Arabidopsis thaliana: one gene and its partner. Each later gene encodes a partner of the first gene's protein in a complex. Each region holds a gene or a part of one and is shown in the gene's direction. Other genes may lie near its edges. The genes, in order: LSM6A and LSM1A.

What was found.
Region 2: LSM6A (region 1) and LSM1A share a complex: the UniProt entries of both Arabidopsis thaliana proteins name them as parts of the heptameric LSM1-LSM7 complex.

What each region holds. Positions count from the first base shown.
Region 1 is NC_003074.8:22,094,277-22,098,528, forward strand, and holds LSM6A (Small nuclear ribonucleoprotein family protein), read left to right. Parts: upstream 1-2,192; 5' UTR 2,193-2,320; exon of another isoform or gene 2,321-2,539; 5' UTR 2,540-2,564; coding exon 2,565-2,679; intron 2,680-3,144; coding exon 3,145-3,258; intron 3,259-3,343; coding exon 3,344-3,390; 3' UTR 3,391-3,690; downstream 3,691-4,252. Other genes in the region: AT3G59800 (stress response protein), read right to left, coding at 321-509, 603-649, 741-876, 1,307-1,408, 1,812-1,898; LETM1 (LETM1-like protein), read right to left, coding at 4,013-4,116, 4,200-4,252. UniProt on the Arabidopsis thaliana protein: Component of LSM protein complexes, which are involved in RNA processing. Component of the cytoplasmic LSM1-LSM7 complex which is involved in mRNA degradation by promoting decapping and leading to accurate 5'-3' mRNA decay.
Region 2 is NC_003070.9:6,606,538-6,610,186, forward strand, and holds LSM1A (Small nuclear ribonucleoprotein family protein), read left to right. Parts: upstream 1-1,577; 5' UTR 1,578-1,750; coding exon 1,751-1,811; exon of another isoform or gene 1,812-1,959; coding exon 1,960-2,028; intron 2,029-2,115; coding exon 2,116-2,231; intron 2,232-2,334; coding exon 2,335-2,397; intron 2,398-2,547; coding exon 2,548-2,625; 3' UTR 2,626-2,832; downstream 2,833-3,649. Other genes in the region: AT1G19115 (uncharacterized protein), read left to right, coding at 75-376, 502-646, 929-948; AT1G19130 (RmlC-like jelly roll fold protein), read right to left, coding at 3,008-3,328, 3,436-3,557. UniProt on the Arabidopsis thaliana protein: Component of the cytoplasmic LSM1-LSM7 complex which is involved in mRNA degradation by promoting decapping and leading to accurate 5'-3' mRNA decay.

The sequences.
Region 1 (4,252 bases):
CTTTTCCTTCTCTGCTTTTCTTTGAATAATTTCCCTTTTCATTTCCTTTAATTTTTTCATCTCTCAGAAATTTTGTTGTGCTAAGATTTTCTGCTAGATTCCCTTTTGATGTTGTCAAATTTCATTTTTAAGCAAATAAACTGAAAAACCATGATTCTGTGGGCATCATTGCGACTTTCAATCCAACAAATATTAATACATGAGCTATTGTCAAAAATATAACATTGCAACAAGGAAGAAAGCAATCATATCCTACTTTGAGTATTTTGATTGAAGACAATCTTACTCTTTGTAATAGTTCATTTGCAGTTTTGCTTTTGTCAATTCTTCAAATTGCCAAAGAATCTAGAGAGTGGTACAGGGCCATCGGTTTCGTGTTTACTTTTGCTAGAGTGTTTGTCTCTGCTGGACTTGTGCTTCTTCTCCTTCTTTGATCTTTTCGAACTTGATCTTGATCTTCTAGATTCATCTTCATCACTGCTAGATGACGACTCTGAGGACGAATAATGCTGCAAATTCATAACACAACCGATCATGGTTCATGTTAGCATAAGCTAGAAAACCTCACACTATCTGATATAAGCTAAACTTTTAGAAGGCACCTTTCTCTTTTTGCTTTTCTTCTTCTTTGAATCTCTGTCTTTCTTATCTGCGAGGTCATTGAACCATTGGCGACCAGTTAATAACGTCCTCAGAAAGAAGGTTTAGATGTCATGTTAAGTTAAGTGGATTATGTTTACCTTTTCGTGACTTATCACTAGAATAGTTCCTTCCTTTGGAGAGTTTCAACGACCTTTCTGCATCCAGCTGAGCTCTATACTCACGCATCAGTTTATCGGTATCTGCTTCAAGTTCTCCCTTTTTCAATTCTTCTTCCTACACATGTTACACGAAAGAAAGATATAATGTTAAACATTTCCTAATGTTCCATACTCACAATACAGAGAGACTGCTGCAAGTAGTAGTAAAAAACTGATATTGCAGATAATAAAAATGTTTAAAAAATGAGCATGACTAGAGTTACTTGAAAACCGCGAGATAGGGATAGATGTAATGTAGAAGGAAGACACACTCATTTTTATATAAACACACAAAGACTGCGTATCTGTGGCTGAAGATGATAAACAGCAGAGGAAAAGAAAATGATATGTTGGAATAAAGCTTCTAAATTGACGACAATAATAGCAATCTTATGAACACTAAATCATCAATGGTCAATTGATTATCTTCTATGGCATTATAACAAGGAACACCGTTCCATACAACATACAGAAGAACTTAAGTATTAAAAAGGCAAAAAGATTACCTTTTGCTTCTGCTTATACTCTTCCCAGGTAATAGTATGTGTAGTCTTGAGGCTAGCCAAACGAGCCGCATGCCACTCTGGTGTATGAAATGAACCATCCACCTGAGACAATCCTCATCAGAAATGTTCCGGTACCAATGCAAAATATCAAAGTTTGACTAATCCAAATGCTTCTTTGTGTTCACAGCTTACAACAACAATAAAAAGACTCTTGAATCACTGTAACACAAACTCTGATGCTACACTTTTACGAAATCACATTTAAACATGGACTTGATATCGTCTACAAGACCTAGCAGGTATTAGATACAAGTTCTTCCCCCAAAATTGGGACTCATAAAGGATCTCTTGTAGGCTTAATTCTAAATGCAGCTCGATAACCCAACAACACAAAAGATCAACAAAACCATAAGTAAATCAACCAAATTGGAATTTTGTTTGGAGAAGTAAAAAAAAACAGAATCAATTTGCAATGAAGAAGATGAGAGTATGAAAAGGTACAAACCATTCCGTCTTCAACCTCATCCGGCTGGGCGGAGCTGGAACCAACCCTAGATCTCTGCATAGCCTTGTAAGCTTGATTCTTCCCCATAGCTAATAGAAGATTTACCCCACAAGAAACAGTCCGCAAATTCCTTGCAGGAGAAAGAGAATTTAGAGAGATTGAGAGGAATTGTTTGTAAAATCTAGGGTTTGGGGGATTAACGGTCCAAAGGGAGAGGATTTAGGGATCTGTAGAGAAAGCAAACGAGAGAGAGACGAGAACAGAAGAAACTGTGAGGTCGAACCGAAACGCACTGGAGATTTAATTTCACCCTCCAAAGTAAAATAATAAAATCTATAAGGACTAATGTTCAATTATTATTAGTTTTAATATGAAAACTCGATCGAATCGAAATAACAATAATCATATAGTATATAGTTTTGGAAATAAATAATAAAAGCCCTTAGGACCGATTCGTTATTTCTTCGCTCTCTCTTTCTCTCTGTGTCTCGTACTCGAGTAGGTCTCAGGTAAGGAGTTCTTCTTTCAGTTCCTTTAATCCTTGTTAAAGTTTCGATTTCTCTTTACATTTTCAATCGAATTCGCTTCTATTGGGTTGAAGGTTTAGGTTTTTAGGTTTCGGAGTCTTTTTGTGATTCGAGAGATTGACTCTGAATGGTTTTTACCTTTTGAGTTTTTGTAGTTCGAAGAGCGACCAAACTGATTTCAGATCTCAATTGTTTCTGCAGTTACGTAAAGGATCGAGCTTAAAAGATGAGTGGAGTTGAAGAGAAAGTTTCTGGAACGACAAAGACACCTGCAGATTTCCTCAAATCCATCCGTGGGAGACCCGTTGTTGTCAAGCTCAATTCTGGTGTTGATTATCGAGGTGCCTCTCTCTCTCGTTAGATGTTCTTATGTGTTTTGCAAGTTCTCTATCTCTGCTGCACTTTAGGTTAGAAGCTTTGACTTAGGACTAGTTCTTTTGTCTATGTTAAGGGAATTAAAGAGTTGCTTGTATTAAGCCCACTTAAGTAACTTAATTATCATGTTATGTCTTCAGCTTTTAAATGATTCTTTTAAAGTCAATATGTGAAGCTTTTCTTACATTTTCTAAGGTTTCCTTGTGAACATTGTTCAATGGTTTTCTTAAGAACATGTTCCTTTCTGCCTGCAATAAGGTTACAATAGTTGACTGAGATATTTGAATATTTAAGTCAGTTTCTCTCATTATCAAGGCTACTTATATCATTCTTGTTGACTTCTTTCCTTTCGTGCCCGAGTCAGTTTTGTCTATGTTCTGTTCAAGCTTAATGTTGAGTTCTTGATCAAGTTTTTATTACTCTTTTCACAGGCACTCTTACTTGTCTTGATGGATATATGAACATAGCAATGGAGCAGACGGAGGAGTATGTAAACGGGCAGCTCAAGAACAAATATGGTGACGCCTTTATCCGTGGAAACAACGGTAACTAAAATCTCTCACACTCATCCTTCTCTCAATCTTCTTCTTTGTATATCTTTCTTTTTAAGTGTGGTTTCTTTGGATGCAGTTCTTTACATCAGTACAGTAAACATGACTGTAGCAGACGGAGCCTAGGCCCATCATGATCATCAACAACAACAACAGTGGTCATGTTATGGCTGCCATTTTTGTTGTCTTCTTCTACCTCATATTAAAAGAGTAGTAGACATGTACCAAGATTGTCATCCTATGTTCTTCAGTAGATTTTTGGGATACAGACATCACTTTTTTCTTAGTAATATGATACTCTTCCATGTGACCCCAGATAAAGAAGAAAAATTATTAATTTATGGCTTGATACAATCATACAAGCAAACAAAATTGAGTTTGGGTGACCAACAGATCGAAACGAGGAAGATCATTAAAGTTTAGTAATCGAATTATGTCATTTAGGGATCACTGGAAACACACATGTCAAACTAGTATAACCAGTCAATCATCAGATTATCATATTCATAGCCATCGACACATTTGAATCAGGAGTTTCCATTGAAATAAAACGCTCAAGATATCATTCTTGGCGTAATGTTATTTTTAATCTTCAACCTCTTTTCACATTACTAGCAAAAGGTCTCGTATTCTTAGCCGCTTGTATATGTAAGTAGCCTGCTTATGTCTAAGCAGCAAAACATGAAGTAGAGCTTCTCTCAATAAAACTCTCTTCACTAGTATTAAAAAGTCTATGTGTGTCTTAAAATCATAGTATTATTTCCTTCAGCTTGATTCTTCTTCCGTTGCATTTTCTTCTGGCTTGCTTCCCAATCTCCCCAACCTTACAATGTCTTCCACCATAATTCTTCCCTCTGTTGAATAACAGATTTATAAAAAAGATCAACTTCAGGGAGATAAGAGCTCAAGAAGGAGAGGATCGCTCTGTTCTTTACCTTTATCTTTGGAGAGACTACTGATTAGTTGTTGAAGGCCGTCGTTAGCGAGT
Region 2 (3,649 bases), on another chromosome or scaffold:
TGAACAGTCTTCGCATAAATCATTTGAGCATATTTTCATATTTTTGTTTCATATGTTTGATGATGTATATATAGCTCAAGAACCATCAAGTCCTCCTTTGAGTAAAGAAGTCCAAGGTTTGCCTCAAGACGAAGAAACCTTCTTAGCCATCGGAACACTTGGAAACAATATCTTCCCCAAGCAAGAAGAAGAAGAAGAAGAAACAGATTCTAGCAAAGATATAACTCCGGTTAATACAGATGTTACTATCGGGAAGAAGAAATCGCTTTCTTTTCTTCTCAAGAAGATGTTTGTTTGCACAAGTGGCTTCAAAACTCCACCTCCTCTTCTTGATTTATCTAGAGGAGATTCATTGCACAACACACGAATGGAAAAGGTAAGCATATATGATCAAATTATTCAATCTTTAAACAAAATATTATTTTTATTATGAAAAGAAGTGAATTCAATAATAGTTATGTACACTAGAAACATTTTTTCCATATGTTATTTTGTGTGTAGATGCTAAGGACAATACTCAACAAGAAGATACATCCACAACGTTCAAATTCTATAGCAAAGAAGTACTTGGAAAGTAATCATAAGATTATGGATGAAGCTCGTTCAAGTGTTGACGCCAACAAATGGGTCAAGACTGATTCTGAATGTGAGATTTTCTAAAATTATATATATTTGGTTTTTCAGGTCGCAAAAAAAAAAAGTTTTATTTTAAACATACAGATGGTGTAATTAACCAAGTGAATATCATGACTGGCTTTATTGCAGTATTTAGTTAGGTCAAAAGCATATAATAAACATCATAAGGACTGAATTAAAATGCAGAAAGATGAAAAGTAAGAATTTAAAAATAGATAAATAAACAAATAGAAAAATGTAAACAAGAATAATGGATAGGGTAAATTAATTTAAATTTCTTTGATGGTTACAGATATTGTCTTGGAGATGTAGATATCAACCAATAAGCTAAATGGACCTGATTGATAGTCATGGTAATAATAGAATGTAAATAAAAACCAAAGTTTTTTCTTATTAAAAATTGATTTTCTATGTAAAATATAAAAAGTAGCAAACAAACATGATCACTGATTCAAGACAAATAATCAAAAATATGTTTTTCAGGTCTCAATTGAGTGATGGTGTAAGTTCAACTGTTCAAGATATGAAGAATAACATTGGAGAAGGGTCATAAAAATATCTCTGATAATCAGTGTTTACAGATGTATATTTACTTGTCAAACTCCATTTTTCATCATAGATTTGTTTTTATTTTTTCAGATTTTAATGTGGTGAAGAAAATCTGTTTGCTCATGTAAACTACAAAATATTCATCTTATCAAATAATTTTATTTGTATTTATGCAGTTTGAAATAAGTGATGAATAATGAAGAATGACTGAGATTTCTTGTTAAATAATAAAATGAAATGAAGGAAAACCCAAATGCAAAATAAAATGGGTTGATTATGCAATAGTTACGAAGTTTTGGGGTTTTAATGTATTTTTCCTAAAATTGAAAAAAAAACTCAGTCTGACCAAACTTTGACAGAACAGAATCGTGCGAGCCGTCAGACTTAACGAAAACGATCCATAGATCTCAAGTCTCTCTCTCTTAGTGAATAAATTAGGGTTCGTTGATTCTCTGTTCTTAAGCTCAGTAATCGAGGAGAAGAAGAAAAGGGAAGATCGGGAATTGGGAAACTGAGAAGTCAAAAAGGCAAATGCGAGTGGAGGAGATTGAGTTTTAGAATTCCAATGTCTTGGGCTGCTCCTGATGATATCTTCTTCTCCACTTCTCTTGCTGCTTACCTAGACAGTAATCTCTCTCACTCTCTTTCTCATTACTGATTCACCGGCGATGAATTCTGTAAAAAAATAAGATTTTGATCCCCAATGGTTGTTGAAGATGTTATCTTCTTCTACATGATTCAATAGTCTCTTAATGTTTTGATTTCTTGTTGCAGAGAAACTTCTTGTGTTGCTTCGTGATGGTAGGAAACTGATGGGTCTACTTCGGTCCTTTGATCAATTTGGTACTTGTCTTTCTCTTTTGCACCGAAAATCCAAAGTCTTTGAAATGGTTTTAAGAAATGTTTCGTTTGTTTTTGGTTTTCTTGAAGCTAATGCTGTTTTAGAAGAAGCTTATGAAAGAGTCATTGTGGGTGATCTCTACTGTGATATTCCCTTAGGTCTATACATTATCCGTGGAGAAAATGTTGTCTTGATTGGTGAATTGGTAAAGCTTTTACTAAACAAACCAATTCCTCTTGCATTTTGAAATGAAAGTTTCCACTTTTAAGAACGATTTCGGTGTTTGAATCGGGTTTCTGTGATCTTAGGACGTGGAAAAAGAAGAGCTTCCAGCTCATATGGTTCAGGTTCCAGAAGCAGAGATAAAAAGGGTTAGTGCAAATATCCTTCTCTCCCTTGTTGATTGCTTTAGCTCTGATTTGTGAGCTTCTTGCACAAATGTACTACAGCTGATTTGCTTTTATTTGGTTTAGTGTTTTGGATTCTACTGACTCCTCAATTACTCTCTTCCGTATACTCAGGCTCAGAAAGCAGAGAAGGAAGAAATGCTTTTAAAGGGCACAATGCGGAAAAGAATGGAGTTCCTTGATCTCGATTAGGGCATTTTCCTATGTGTTGCAGCATTGTAGAAACTAGAAGATCTCAAGATGGAGGATACAGAAGATCCTTAAACGTCATAATGTTAGTTGATGTGTGTATGTGTGGATGACATTGATGAATCCTCAGAACTTAGTCGTTGCAGATCCTCTGCTCTGTTTATGGAATGAAATTGTTGAGCCTGTTCTTTACTGGCCATTTATTTGATCAATCACAATTCAGTAAAAACAAAGATACAAAGATGAAAAGTGAACTCAAAGTACAGTTACAACCTTTGTATGATTCATATGAAAAGTTGAAGTAACAAAGCAAACATAGTATCCTTCTCTTAGTAGTTACCAAAAACCATTGAGCCAATAAGGCGTCTCCTCTAGGTAGGCCCTTTCACTCCGGGTAAGATAGCATTGTGATGAGTGACTCGTGTTGCGGAAACCTTGATAAGAGATCAGAGCGTTTCGCGAGCTCAAAGTCCTCGAACTGGAAAGCAGGAGCGCAGGTGCAGCCAACAAGAGAGAAATGGTTCTCAGAGTCTCTAGCCTCAGCTTTAAGCAGAGCCCCGTCTTGAGAAAAATGAACATCCTTTGTAGGAAACGAACCAAACCAGACGTTTGGAGGGACCGTGTACTGAGGCTTCTGATCACCTTCAAACAAGTCAGGACCAAGACATGTGAATTTCAACTTCCCATCATCGTAGAGTTCCACTACCTGATCAAGGCAAGAAGAAGAAGCCATATTCAAGAACATGGATTATATTCTTCTTCTCATTATACAGTTTTGTTCACTCACTGTAAAGACAAGAGCTTTGAACTTACAGTAAGGGGTTCACCCAAATAAAAGTGCCAGGTTTCAGCCATTGGTATGCGATGAAGACGAGAAACGCTCCCAGATGGAAGCAAGAAGTAGATACTTGTGCTCACAGCTCTGTCCACCTTAACTGCAGAGATTCAGAAAAATATATAAAAAAGGATCAAACTTGCGAGATGATCTGCAATAACCCAAATCCAAAGTTTAAGCATTGATAATAAG